Lytechinus pictus: one gene and its partner. The protein of the gene in region 1 purifies or fractionates together with the protein of each later gene. This does not show direct contact. Links are inferred from orthologs where the notes say so. Each region holds a gene or a part of one and is shown on either strand. Other genes may lie near its edges.

Evidence for each region. Proteins that work in one complex are often made in the same cells at the same time.
Region 2: the proteins of pre-rRNA-processing protein TSR1 homolog (region 1) and bystin-like purify together in Homo sapiens (affinity purification with mass spectrometry; 3 studies listed by BioGRID and IntAct, counting the BioPlex papers as one, with this or other methods). This does not show direct contact. The link is inferred for Lytechinus pictus from reciprocal best matches to the Homo sapiens genes TSR1 and BYSL.

What each region holds. Positions count from the first base shown.
Region 1 is NC_087247.1:46,017,625-46,025,276, forward strand, and holds the start of pre-rRNA-processing protein TSR1 homolog, read right to left. Parts: upstream 3,019-7,652; 5' UTR 2,886-3,018; coding exon 2,783-2,885; intron 1-2,782. Other genes in the region: nuclear transcription factor Y subunit beta-like, read right to left, coding at 6,535-6,555, 7,588-7,652. UniProt on the Homo sapiens protein: Required during maturation of the 40S ribosomal subunit in the nucleolus.
Region 2 is NC_087245.1:8,162,665-8,170,440, reverse strand, and holds the start of bystin-like, read left to right. Parts: upstream 1-4,762; 5' UTR 4,763-5,010; coding exon 5,011-5,154; intron 5,155-7,776. Other genes in the region: uncharacterized protein LOC135153137, read right to left, coding at 160-162. UniProt on the Homo sapiens protein: Required for processing of 20S pre-rRNA precursor and biogenesis of 40S ribosomal subunits. May be required for trophinin-dependent regulation of cell adhesion during implantation of human embryos.

The DNA.
Region 1 (7,652 bases):
TCGTCAATGGAAGTGCCCCCCCCCCCCCCCGGGGTGTTTACATGTGCAAGGAAAGGTTATTCCCAATGACATCATTGATTTTACGTAGTTGAATATTTATGGCAGCTGTCCAGACTTGAAAAAAAAAACCTCACTCGGTGATCTTGCAACTCTGTGTGCTAATGGAACTTTGGTCTTGCTTTCAACTTCTTGCTATTCATATTTACAGGTATCATCCCACTCTAAAAGGTATTCATTCCAATAGAACAACATTTCAACTACCGTACATTGTGGTGAAATTTGAAAGAAATCTACTGACGCTAAGTGTGTTTTTTATGTCCGTTTCGGCGATGTCTGTGATTTTTGTTGACTGTTGTTGGGCACTTCCATATACCAATGTATGCGCATTGTTGTTTTCTATTATTAGTGCACCTTGGTCCCAATTAAGGTCACAACTTTTGTTTTTCAAAAACAAAGGAATACATAAGAATTGAAGAGGCGATTTGTGCGAACTTAAAAAACTACCAAAGTTTTAACTTTCTTGTTACTGGGGCTATTGAAATGAGGTATTAAATGAAAGGTCTTGATGAGCTCTAAATGATGCTATGAAGCAAACACCCGATTTCTCAAATTTATTTTTTTGCAACATACCTACACATGCTTTTTCATTTTTTTATACTTTTTTTTATATGAGAAAAAAAATGATGTTAATGGGTGATTTCAAGTACGGTGTTCAGTGTTGGTTTTGGTGTTGAGAGCGTAAAAAGGCCGCTGAACCGAGCTCCAACACCGAGCTGGGTTCAGAGGAACGATACTGATTGCGTTGTCGATAGCACATGACGTCACGCCTCTGCGCTGCTAAATCATCTCAACTTCACGCACCATCCTTCAACACGAACTGCCGGAAATATGTCATATATTCCGAGGTCAATCCCAACACCAGCCTGATTTCAAGTACAGTGTTGTGGCTGGTATTGTCACAACACCAACACCAGGGGAGCGTTTCATCAATATTTTTATCCGACAAGTTGTCAGATCTGACATCATTCTGACATCTTTCCATGATTTTGATTGGCTGAGAGTAGCCAGGCGGCTTCTAGAGAGTAAAAATCATTTACTAACGTAAGGTCACTCTCATGAAGCCAGGCCTTCTATCCCATAGACCCACACAATGGAAGCCAAAACCTGAAACTTTCACCCCCGAGATTTCTACTTTCTTTCTAAAAGATCTAGCCCTAAACAGTAGAGGCGCACGGCCAATATTGGAGACTGTCTCCAATGTGAGAGATTATCTCCAATATCAGAGACTTTTGTAAAGAATTTGGGTATCCAATTTCAGAGACAGTCTCCAGTTTTGGAGTCCAATTTCCTTTGTTTACATTTGCTGCAAAAGGATTACCTTGGCGGCAAATAAAAATGTGATAAGCAGATTCCTCATGAAAAATTACCTCTTTTCACCGTCTACTTTAAATATTCACTGTCTACTTTTGTTTTGATAAGGATTTTTGTTGTCAATCACACACAAAACAAATGGGCTTCTGACCTCAGTGAGACAAAATTTTGGGTGGAAAAAATCATGCTTTTGTTGGTGTTGTTTCTTTTGTCCTTTTGCAAAGCAAGTCTCCAATGTGGGAGATTGTCTCCCCTATTCTATTGGAGAGAGTCTCCCATATTGGCCGTGCGCCTCTACTGCTAAATCATGTACATGGGATAAAACTTCATTTCTGACATTTCTACGCTCTCGTTGTTATTTTTTAACAAGAATTCATCAAAAAAATGAGAGAAATATTGTGTAAAGACGGAAGAGACTCGCCCGATGTTTACGCCGCCATCTTGTTTTCTATTGATTTGTTCTTCGCCAACGTTACAGACGCGTGCGTCGGGTAACGTTGGGGAAGAACAATAGAAAACAAGATGGCGGCGTAAACATCGGGCGAGTCTCTTCCGTCTTTACACAATATTTCTCTCATTTTTTTGATGAATTCTTGTTAAAAAATAACAACGAGAGCATAGAAATGTCGGAAATGAAGTTTTATCCCATGTACAACATGATTTAGGGCTAGATCTTTTAGAAAGAAAGTAGAAATTTCGGGGGCGAAAGTTTCAGGTTTTTTGGTGGTACACGCAAAAGTATATGACGGAAGCCCTGGCTTCGTATGAGAGTGACCTTACGCTACGTTAGTAAATGATTTTTACTCTCTAGAAGCCGCCTGGCTAGCTGAGACTGAGAGTGAGAGGCACTGTTCCTATGGACGGTAACTGTCGGATAAAATGAGACTTGTCGGATAAAACGTCCGACAAGTCCTTTCATGAAACGCCCCCCAGATTTCAACACCGCGCCGTACTTGAAATCACCCACTGGGCCACTGTATTTCTGTAATAATTAATGTTTTTGCATAAGCCATAAAACTAAAACTAAAAGTTAACAATGACTGAGTCATGACATGACTCCATGTTGTTATTGTTAACTTAAATTTAAAACCGATCTTTTTCATTTTATCCAGATGCAGACATAAAAAATCAGAGATCGAAACAAATTTAAGAAAAATGGAAAAATCGGATCGGGAATTGATATAAAAATTTGTTACATTAGTAAAGTTACGTTCTTAAAATAATTAGGGCCTAGGTATTACTATTAGAAATCTTCGACTAATCGGTACCGGCACCACATTAATCTGTACGTGTGGGACTAGGGCTAGTAAGGGAACAACGATGAAGTCTTCAACCGGAAATATCAAATCACCGAGTAAAAGGATTTTCCTGGAAGAGCGACACATCAAAGAAAGTTATAAAAGTAACTTACCCTTTAATTCAACGTCGATTTTGCCTTTACTACGATGTCGTCCAGTTTTGTGGCCTTTATTTTGCTGTTTTAAAGGACCGGGTCTGTGCGATGTTTTCGCCATTTTGCACGTGTACCAATACCCGTACCGCGCGCGCTAGCGCTAGCGAGTATATTTAATTTTTTACTTATTCTATGTTCAAGACTCAGTGCAGTTTAACTGTAGCGAGTTTTCGCTCAGATCAGCGGCGTGCAATGAACATCTATCTCCCCTCTAGCTCTATAGATCAGTGGCAAAGAATTATACAAGATTTCAATTTTTATACAGATTTGACATCAAGGACAAACTTGACTGAACCATAAAATGTAAAAAAACAATGGTAATTCCACATGTTCAGGGAGAAATAAAAATTTGTTTCAAATGACAATGGGGAGAAAATTAGGATATTTCATAAAATAAAACAGAAATAGTGAGCGAGTGATGTCATCAGTTCCCTCATTTGCATACCGACCAGGATGTCCATATTTTAAAAATGTCATAACTTTCTTATTTTACATCCGATTTCAATGACATTTTCAGCGTTATGCTTGTTGGATTTTTCTCTTTTTATTCAAATCAAATTTTGTTGGGGTGGACTTGTCCTTTATTAAAAACCAGATATTTAACTTTTGAGACTTGTGATTTTCTTTTTTGAAATTCATATACCACCTACCAAAAGCCTTTTGGTATCCTTTCTTTTTCAAATTGCTTTCACTAAATGCGTGAATAAGAAGTTACACCAGAGGAAAGAGAATATTCTATGCTTTACAATGAAAGGTAATATGTTGAATGATTTTTTTATTAAGTTATGATAACGCACAGTCAAACCTGCTTCAGCAACTGCCTATATAGAAGGATCACCTGGCTATTTTTAAGACCACAAATTTGGTTTTCCTTGAAGAACTTTACACATTATGGGAGTCTTTCCACAAAGACTGCTTTTCTTGTCTCATTCAACAGGTTTGACTATATGATAAATAAATATCATTATTGTGGGGGATTTTGGAGAGAGGGGCAACTGCATCTGCTCCCCGCTTTCCAGTCCCCCTGGCAGTATTTTCCCCTTCTGCACACACCCTCTCACACAATTACCAATCTTCCTAGACCCATATAGCATTCCGCTAAGTTCTCGTTCCCCTTCTCTCTCCCACACAACTATACACAAACCCACGATGGCCCTGTCTTACAAAGAGTTACGATTGATCCGATCAATCTCAAGTATATGGAAATCCATTAATTTCATATTTTATTTTCACGAAATTGGCTCATTGTCCTTTGAAAACAGAGAGAAGCATACTGAATTGTCAAGAAAAAACAGTGAATGTATGAACATATGTCATTTCTAGAAAATATTTTGAAAATGTACTTTAGATGTTGACTTTTCTGGCTTTCCATAGTTGCGATTGATCAGATCAATCGCAACTCTTAGTAAGACAGGCCCCTGGTCCTTAAAAATTAACCATGTCCAAGTTGTGAAACACATACAAATACACTTGAGAACAACCATTTACAATATATACATCATTATTTTCTAATTAAAATTTCATTTCATGTGTAAGCAGCAAAACATTACAAACAACAGGAATGCCAAGAAAATTTTACACTTTACAGGATAAACAAAATAAATGATCAACAACAGGTCTTCCCATCAGGGCATTGTTTCTTTTGTTATCTTCAGTGATGCATACCAAATTTATCACAAACTTACTCTTCACCAATCAAATGCCACAATTTCAGTATCATAAATATGCATTGTAATTCCAACTACTAATTACAATCTTTGTGAAATGTTGGTCCATTTTTTTTCTCACCCTATTTTCATCTTCATACAGAGTGTGGATTACAATGAAAATTCATAAGAAAATGTTAACTTTGAAAGAGTTGTCCCATCTCCTTTGATAATATAATCATTATCAGGGTTCCCACAAAAATTTGAAAACACCAATTCCATGACTTTACCATGACTAAATTGCTGCTTTCCATGACTTCCTGTGACGTTCTGGGAGTTATGTAGAATTTGGGATGTCACAAAACTGGGAAAAATGGAAATCATGAATACCAATTATAATAGCAGAGTATGAGAGTTACGAATAACGACAAACTGGAAAGCTGCCATAGCCAAGAGGTAAATGCGATTCCATGACTTTTCACAAATTTTCCAAATTCCCTGACTTTTCCCTGACTTTCAATGAACAAAAAAATTTCCAGGATTTTCCATGACTGTGGGAACCCTGATTATATATATAGGTCATGATTTTCCACTCTTGGTCACATTACATTCTCTTCTAAAATCAGCACATCCAGGGAGCGATTTCATATAACTGTTTGTAACTTACACATGACTTTATGCACAACTGGTGATCCTACAATGTGTCAAACGATTTATCCCTATGCAGCTGACTAAATCACCTGAGAATATGTTCCAGTCCTTCATAGAGTCGAACATCTTAAACACCACCCAGTACTTCAGAGACTGAACAGCCAGGTGTTATTCTTTGGTTCATTGCATCAAACAAGAGTTTTAAATTTTATGCGAATGGGACCTTACATAGCATATAATGACTGGGCTTTTCCAGGCAAAGCTTTTCAAACTTTTTTTGGAGGGGGAGGGGTCTATGACCCATGACTGAACTTTTGACCAATCTTCGCACTCAAATCTATATATGTGAAGTTTATCCATCTAATGATTTTTCTGTTACTGTGAGAACAAGATATTTTTAGGTGTATAATGACCTGCTATTGTTTACCTTTGATCTCACGAGCCTAAAATCTTGTTAAATCATCCTCGCTGCCAAATTAACACGTCACTTGAATTTAAAATTGATCCATCAAACTTATTCAATTATTCTAAAATGAATGGACAAAAGGTGATCTAAAAATACAATGCCTCCAGCAATTACCTCTTGATGGCTGAAGGTTACAATTCAGGTGTAAAGGCCTTGAAAACTGAGTTAACCAAATCAATCAATCAATCTCTACTTTTAAGTATTTAAGTAGAGTCAATTCCCCTTATGTTAGAAATGGGAAATTAATTCATTCATCGTGATTTAATCAAAGCATTTGAAATTGTGTAACTTAAGCATGATTCTGTTCTGCAGGGTATTCCCTCATATTCATACTGAAATTTATATTCAAATTTCATATTCTCATGTAAAATATAAATTTGATTTTAACAAAGAGATATAAAAAATAGGATGAATAACCCATAAATAAATGATGAGATAAATATGACATAAAGCCAAAAATTTACAATAAATCTGAGTTATGTATCATTGTTGAAACAATAAAAGGAGTTGTAACTCAAAAGGGAAATAATTTGTTAGTGAGAAATTAAATCAAAATCCACAGAAAACCTACTATGGAAAGTGTAAAAACACATTTTTATTGCATACAGATCAAAACAGCTTTGAGCTGGGGGGTGCAGAGGGGGAAACCAAGTTAACATAAACAGCCAAAAGGAGGGTTACTTTTATACAAGACATCTCTCACAAGTGCTTTCATTTCATGTGCGCATCAAAGTTGTATAATTCTCATAACTAAAAACCTAATCATGCAACTCCTGAAGAGTTCTCTCCTGTGCATGCTAATCCATGTTTGCAATAAAACAAATCTGGGTATGACTCCTGTGCATAAAGATGCCCTTCAGGAATCTAGATCTGACAGCTAACTGCATTCAAGGTGTTGGTCTGACTTGTGATGATGATCAAATTGGCAGCACACCACCAAACAAAGATCACGTAAAGGTCATCGGTATCTGGAAAAGAATATACACACATGCAGATTTCCTTAAGAAAATGAAATATTTACATGATAATTGAACTGACCTTCTTTTGCATGTAAATTGCAAAACGTTAATAAATCTCTCACTTGGAATAAACAATAAGGGACAATAAGGATTCTCTCATGGAACTGCTTACTATTATAATAATATCCCTTTTAAATTGATTAGAAATAACTAAGAGTAACTTGAGCATGGTCAAAGGATGTGATAACGAGAGTGTAAATTTCAGGCACTATCTCATCCTAGAATCAATGCGAATGAAACATTTTGGGTGCAACAAGGTAACATCCTGCTGAAATGCAAAGGCAAATGACACATACTTTTTGTTTCTTCTGTGACATAAAAAAAAACAGGAACTGATTTATTTATTTATTTATTATTTTTTGGACACAATTGCAGAAGAGCCAGACAAGAACAATTCCATCAGGGAGAACTAGTTTCTTGCCTGGGTGATCTCTGTGAAAAGGGTTATCTAATTTACCATTGGCATACATTTTGAAAGAATATTCTTTAAACTTCCTAAGCTCCGCCTCTTCAAAAGAGCTTCAGCACTCATCTTGACCATGCCATCAACTGCTAATCCAAGTCACCATCGCTAATAATTTACAATAGACAATAGTACCGGTATGTCACTTTCCATAGTTCAGCACACGCTTAAAATAGAATTAAATGCTTTCATACAATACCTGTCCATTGCCTTTCTTTCCCTGGTGATGCTACAGCATGTCTGACATTGCACCTTTTCAATGAGACTACGAATAGCTAGTCCGTTCTAGCAAAGCTTCATTCCCTTTATTTAGCTAACAACTGGTGAATTGACATCACTGCCAGAATGAGATAGCTCTTTTTATGGGGTGGCAAGTTGAAATATCCTTTCAAAAATTATTCAATAATCTACACAAAATGTTTTGATGCTTAAATTTTATAACAGCATATGAGTTGCATATTTAGCAATTAACTTAAAAACGATTCAACTTAACAGGGGTCCTTACAAAGAGTACTTACTTGTACTTGAGAAGGATATTGCTGGTAGGCTGGTGTTCCAGCCTGGTCTCCAACCATCAATTCAG
Region 2 (7,776 bases), on another chromosome or scaffold:
GTATACCGTACCGGTACCGGTACCGTACAGATTCTCAACAAGAAATGTGGAGCTTCAACAAAAGTAATTTCTAGAGACTAGATTCTAAGGCTGGAGTACGGTGCCAATTTTCACTCTTTTTAAGTAAACTTCACTACAGTCTATTTTCTTCCAACTCACCATCCAACTTTTACTTCTGCTCCCTGTTTCCTCTTCAAAGTAAAATAAAAAATCTCCTTTGTCAAAAATCGCCCACACGCACGCTCACTTGAATCATACATGCAAACTTACGTTGCGTTATTGCGTTGCGGCAAAAACTGGCGATTACCGGCGACCAATAGTAGGAGGGTAACGGTAGCGACCGAAAAAAGATTTAATTATTTATTTTTTAATTTTCTCGAAGGTGCAGAAAGTAATGATGGGGCGCGGATCCAACAATTCCAAGGGAGGGGGGGGGGGGGGGGTGGATTACAGAAAAATTTGTGTGAAATTTTGGGGTTGATATTGCGATGGAGAATATCACTTATTGCATTTTTTCTGCGTACTATCTGCATTTTAGCCTTAGGGTCTACTTCATAACCACCATTAATTTGAAGCATGAACAAGATTATCATATTGAACCATAGAGATGTATACTATACATCTCTTTGTATTGAACCAATAATGCTATAACGCGAAGTACGAGCTGATTTTTTTTTTCTACTGATCCGAAGGGGGCAGTCATTTGAATTATTATTTAACCAATAATGCGAGCGTGAAGCCAGAGCTGAAATTTTTTGTTTCTCTTTGATCTGAATTGAAAATCATAAGGCTGCAGCACCATTTTAATTCATGAACAAGAGGCATATAATGATGCGGTGCGAAGCACGAGCTATATGATCTGAAGAAGGACAGATTTTAATTCAAGCGACATTTGAATCCAGATAAGCCTAAAGTTGTCAATGCAAGCAAAATTTATTGATATGCTGACCTGAAAACGGCAGTTTTGTATCGTGAAAAGGACTTCTTATAAAATTTATTTTCAATTATTTGGAAGCATTAATGCCACTCATATCTCCCTAAACAATATATATTATATATATTGTTACGAAATGAAAGGTTTATTTAATTCAGTATGGTTCGTGACAGTGAAGAGCGTAGAATATATTTTTAATCCCTGTAATATATATAGTTGCATATTCAGTAATCGATTGTTTGTAATCGATTATGTAGGTATTTTCTTTAAAATGTATAAAATTTACTAATTATTTTGCTGAGAAAAAACGATGTTTACAATTATATGCTCATATTATTTACTTTTAATTGCTCCTTACTGTTTGGGTATAAAAAAAGCGACAAACACCATTGCCGTTGCTGGAAAGATTTATTTTATGAATTTAACTGTTTTTTTTTTTTAATCAGGCTCTAGCTTAACAGCCTATAGCTGACAATTTGATGAGAGGCGGTAACCAAAAGTTGACCATAATCGAGCGTGGGCCTGCAATCTAAGCTATGTGGGGAAGTTACAAATTGATGCGGAGGTTCGAGGTTCGGGACCTGGTCACGTCTTTCGGATGGTGGCGTTAAAGGTCGTTCCTAACGTAAAAAATCATATCTGATTGATACACGTTTGACAAAACTCAAATACACACACACATCTTCGGTTACGAGCCATGCCATATGCTTGACAAAGAGGTTTCTGCGCGAAACTCTGCCCAATTTTCAATGGAACCTGCTGGGACAGGATGAGTTTGATTTCTTCAGTAAAGTTATAAGAGCTAGAGATGAATGCTTGCTTCTTACTTGTCGTTATTTTGTTGTATGGAGCTAGCAACAATGGTCGGAAAAGCAGAAGTATGAAAGTGTTGGAAGTACTGACTAGAAGGAGTGAGAATACTGGCTTTACTGAGATACGGAAAATACTGAGATGAGTGAGGATACTGAGAGTACTGAAATTACTGAGATACCGAAATGATTAAATTACGGAGATACTGAATACTAGAATGATTGAGATAATGGAGATACGGAATGACGGAAATGTTGAAATCCATGAGCTAAAATAATCTAAGTTACTGAGTGAGAAGGAACAATTAAAAAGAGTCAGAAGTGCAAGGCCGACGGCCCTTTACACCAACTGGTTGTACAGTGCGTCCCCCAAAAAAATATACACTTTTGAAATGGCTGCCAAATAAAAAATGTATCACTTGGGGGGGGGGGGGAGACTTATATATATGGAAAGCCAATAAAGCCAACTTTCATGCTTGAGCGAGCAGTGCCCACTGAAACAAAGGGTATGGAAATTAGGCTAGATAGGCCTGAATTAGCCTTCCAATTTCTTCCAGTTTGTTTTGTATATTGGCTTTCCCCCGAGGTGATACATTTTTTATTTGGCAGCCATTTCAAAAGTGTATAGTTTTTTGGGGGACGCACTGCATATTGCAGCCTAAACGAACCAGCTCGTCAGGAAAGAAAGTCGGTTCGGCTACAATATATAATTATATATATATATATATATATATATATATATATATATATATAATATATACAAATGTGTGAAATTATACATGTACAACAGCTTTTTTATTTAAATATTTTGTGAAAGAAATGGATGAAGAGAACAATGGTAGGCGTAGCTTAAATCAAGGTTCCCCAGAGCTATCTACCCTTTGGAAAAATTGGCAATGCCTTAAAAAGGTCTCTGCCGGGAATCAAACCCGGGCCCCCAGCTTTGACGCCGGTGCCTTAACCACTAGACCACAGAGACGGGTTAGTGGCTAGGGCGACCCCGATCCGATTGACCGTCAGATAGACAGATTTTCGACACTATATATATATATATATATATATACTGTATATATATATACAAGTACAATGCATTACCACTTTGCCTCATTAATATCTTCTATGTCCAACACGCGGAACGTAATATCGTCATATATATATATATATACGGCATTTACTAAACCATTACAATTATCTTATTCCATGTGCCGAAGCAGTCTATTTCTATTTTACTCAGGTACTTTTTACTGTTAAACCTCGACTGTTGGCGGCGAGGCCTTTTCATTTTCCTGTTTTGGAGGCAGAGAAACGCCTTTGTCATCTTGCAGTCATGGCAACGTGTGTTTAGATGCGTCTTTTACAGTGCGCTTCCTCCATCTTCAGCGCATTGATTTCTTTGAAAGGTCACGTATAGTTTCACAGTCCGTATGCCCATGAACAGATGTGTTTTTCACGATTTGTTTCAGAAACGGATTTTAAATTCTCTTTTTGTCACATCATGGGCACTCATGCATGCATGGGCGGAAATCCCAGGGGGGGGGGTGCAGGGGGACGGGGGGAGGGGCGTCGACAAAAATAGTAGAGGGACACAATATAAAATGCCCCCTACTATTTATGATATTTTATGAGTGAGAAAAATTCATCATTTACAATAAAAATAATGCATGTATTTTGGACTAAATGACCTTACATTTCTTGGTGAAAACCTTTTTTTTGCTTGTCAAATTTTTTTTTGGGGTTATAATGACTTTACATTTTGGGTGATAACCTTTTCTTTTTTTTGTCTGTACCTTTTGGGACAGATTTCTGAGAGCTATACGCTCCTTTCAAAATCTATGATTAATATATATATATATATATATATATATATATATATATATATATATATATATCAACTTCATAATCTCCGTTTTATATATATATATATATATATATATATATATATATATATATATATATATATATATATATATATATATAACGATATTACATTCCGCGTGTTGGACATAGATGATATTAATGAGGCAAAGTGGTAATGTATTGTACTTAGTTCCAACAGTTTATTTTGAATTCCAAATTTTCGACGTTAAACATACGTCTTCTTCAGGGATCCAATAAAGCTCACAGCGAAAAGAACTAAAATAATAACATTCATGATTGTGGTAGTCATGGAACCGCGCACAAAACAGCATCACCATCATAATATAATTAAAAAAACATATACATTTATAGTTTTCTTTGTATTACAAGGATCATTGAATGCATTATCCCACTTGTTTTGTGATGTAATTTCAACCTCTATGATTGCATTTTACGTAAGATTGTAATTTTCAAATTTCTAGGCACTTTTGCATGTCATAGTCTACCCACGTGATGCCGGCCACTACGTCATTAAGAAAGAAGTTATGTTATAGAGGTTGTTTTACCTGACTGCTAAGAAAGCACGAATGCCTGTGAGCAAGCAACCAGGGGACCAACGGCTTAAGGTCCTCTCCGAGGGACCTGGTAATGAGGATAAGTGCGGGGATAAGTGCCTTACCAAAGGGCACTAGCGCACCACTTGGGAATCGAACCCGGGTCACCAGAATCCGAAACCCCCGCTCTACCGACCGTCTGAGCTATCGCGCCTCCCTTAAATGACAGGTTCGGAGGTGTCAAAAATATTTAGTGAGGTTGTTGTACCCGATCTTGGTAAAGAGGGCTTCGTGAAACGGTTAGCGGACAAGTAGCTCACTATCTCTGATTTAGTCAAGAAGTTAGACTTATATGACGGTGTTGAGAAACGGGCCCCTGGCGGCCCGCCTTTACTTTCCCTTATCAACCGGGGGATCAACAACTTTAATTTTAAGTGTAAAGAAAAACAACAAAATTTAGCAAGGCAACAAAACAAAACATGTAGGCAGAATGTACTGACTTAATTTGCCTAGAAAAAATCAACATTTATAATACCCACAAAAAAGAAAGAAATTTGTTTATTTTATTTTATTTTTTAATCTGCTAGCTTCATTGCTTGCGCGTGCTTATTAGTCGCCAGGCGCTAGCCAGAGAGAGCTCGGCTAGCTGCTGACGTGACCGCTGCTATGCTATGCTGACTATACTACTGCATGCCGTAATATATTATAAGGTCTTTGACTGCATGCATGCATGCTGCAACTGCTGCCGAGCGCGACATGTCGACAGCAACAGTACCGGTATATTTTATACCGGTACGGTACACGTGAATTGTGTTAATTGATATTGACATCACAATAGTATTAGTAATATATTATTATGGGGAAAACAAAGAAGAATCGACCAAAAAGAGGAGACCCTGTCTTCACGAGTGGACCACTGGCAGAGCAAATAGAAAATGAAGACACTCTCAAAGTCTCTCAACGAGTGAAGGAACGTAGACGAAAGGATGAAGAGGACTGTGTAAGGCCATTTTTTTACTCAATTAGATCTAGGCGTATCACTATCAGTCCCATACATGGGAATTCGTGTGTGTCGTGATTGAAGACAACCGAACAGTTCAATTTCAAGCCTCAAGGTTTAGTTTTTGGTTTTGAAATGTCATAATTTAGAAAGTATATGTACCAATTTCATAAAATGTAGACTTTAAGGGATACTTTGGGCTGAAAATATTTAAATCTAAATAAATAGAGTAAAATTCACAGATCAAATTCAAAATGCTTAAAATTTTATTAAAATCGGATAACAAACAGTAGAGGCGCACGACCAATATGGGAGACTCTCTCCAATAGGGGAGACAATCTCCCACATTGGAGACTTGCTTTACAAAAGGACAAAAGAAACAACACCAACAAAAGCATGATTTTTTCCACCCCAAATTTTGTCTCACTGACTGACTGAGGTCAGAAGCCCATTTGTTTTGTGTGTGATTGACAACAAAAATCCTTATCAAAAAGTAGACGGTGAAAAGGGGTAATTTTTCATGAGGAATCTGCTTATCACATTTTTATTTGCCGCCAAGGTAATCCTTTTGCAGCAAATGTAAACAAAGGAAATTGGATTCCAAAACTGGAGACTGTCTCTAAAATTGGATACCAAAATTCTTTACAAAAGTCTCTGATATTGGAGATAATCTCCCACATTGGAGATAGTCTCCAATATTGGCCGTGCGCCTCTACTGACAAACAATGTTATCCGATTTTAATAAAATTTGTTTGAAACATGACAAAGACCAAAGTCAAGATAGAGACTTAGAGAGTAAAGAAGACTAAAGTGCCCAAATATCGGACACTTAAGTATAATTGGACCAAAAATAAAATACATTCATTGAATCAAATAAAAATAATGTTTATTTCTGTAGTATAAATGTTGAATATCATAATGTATGTCATCACGCTCTAACTTTTTTAGACCCCAAAATAATTGCTTAATTGTTGATAAAATAATTTATTTTAGCTGTGCAAATGCCGATTTTAATTATTATTATTATTATCAATAATTTTGATATAGAACTCGGTAAATAATGATGATTTACTTACAGGGTTGTTTGATTTAAATCATGTCGATTTAAATCATGATTTAAATCGCGATTTAAATCACTTGATTTTTTTCAAAAAAATCACTGATTTAAATCAACTTTTATGAAAAAAATTAGTTTTCTCTATTTTCTCTTCTTCTTAACAGATACTTTCAATGTAATCATTTTCATTTCTGTTCCACATGCTTTAGAGATACTTTAAAAGAATGATACACCCTCATGGAGTCTGATTTAACACCACTGTTTTATTTTCAAATTGTAAAACAAGCAAAACTGATGAAAACAACAAGTTTCTAACGAAGTAATGATAAATAACTCTCTGTATCTACACCAAACTGTTAAATCTTCAATAAAATAATATATAAAATCTACAAAGGTGCTCAAAGTCCACAACTTGGATACTTTTACAAAACAGTTGAACTACTTGTATGTACCTCCTTGTTACTATTAATACCCATTCTTTCAAAAACCCTTTGTTTATTAGCTATTACCAGCTGTTAGTTGGGAAGTCCCCCATGTGATAGTTCTAGGAAATATTCCTAGCTAAAATCCCCCATGTGATAATTCTAGGAAATATTCCCAGCTAGAATTCCCAAGGGCAGTATAAGAACCCTAACAGGCCTTTAATAATGTCAATTTTGTTGGAAATTCTCAAGTTCTTTGAGTACTTCATGCATTGGAGTAACACTTCGGATGTTTTGAACTGACTGATATAAAAATTTCAAGAGTTTAAATGTATACATAATACATAACATTACTTGGGCTTCCATAAAATGTCCCTCTCTATAATGCAAATAAATAAAAAAAAAATAAAAAAATTACCTGTATATAAGTGGATTATTGTGTCAAATAGTACAATACACAATGTTCAAAAGACTACTTGACCACTATTATTGGTGTAAAACAGTTTAAATATAGTTTAAAACTTGTTAAGTGTGACCATTATTTTTCGTTGGAAAAAAATCAAAAAAATCTGATTTAAATCATAAAAATCAGATTTAAATAAAAAAAATCAAAAAAATCAACAACCCTGTTTACTTACCAAATGGACCTCTTTTGTTTTGGCTCCGAACATCGGATGTCTTCGCTCAGTTGCATGCAACTTCGTTCTGAAAACGAGCGCGCGCACCTCAACAGCTCGTGTTTCAAATTCAATCGGCCGATATGTTTGATTTTTAGGATCATGCCATATTTGGAAGGGTGTCAAATTTCCTGCCGTAAGGAACCCCCGCGGAGGCCATTGCAGATTTTTGGGTGATAGAGCGAACATGTGCGATCTCGGCAGCGATATAGTATCCTTAAATTAGACCCCAAACTAGCCAATCTGGAATAAAATTATTGGAAATGGTTTTTCAACTGATTTGAGTAGGTATGGGTGTCAACATTTACCAAAAAAAGTTAGGAGGAATACGGGATGGGGAAAGTGTTTTTTTTTCAAGGTCAATGACCTTTTCATATATACTGTATAGTGGTATCTCTGAGATGGAAGGGTGCAGGTTGGTGATAATGGTGTGAAAATGCACAAATTCTTACCAGAATATCAAATA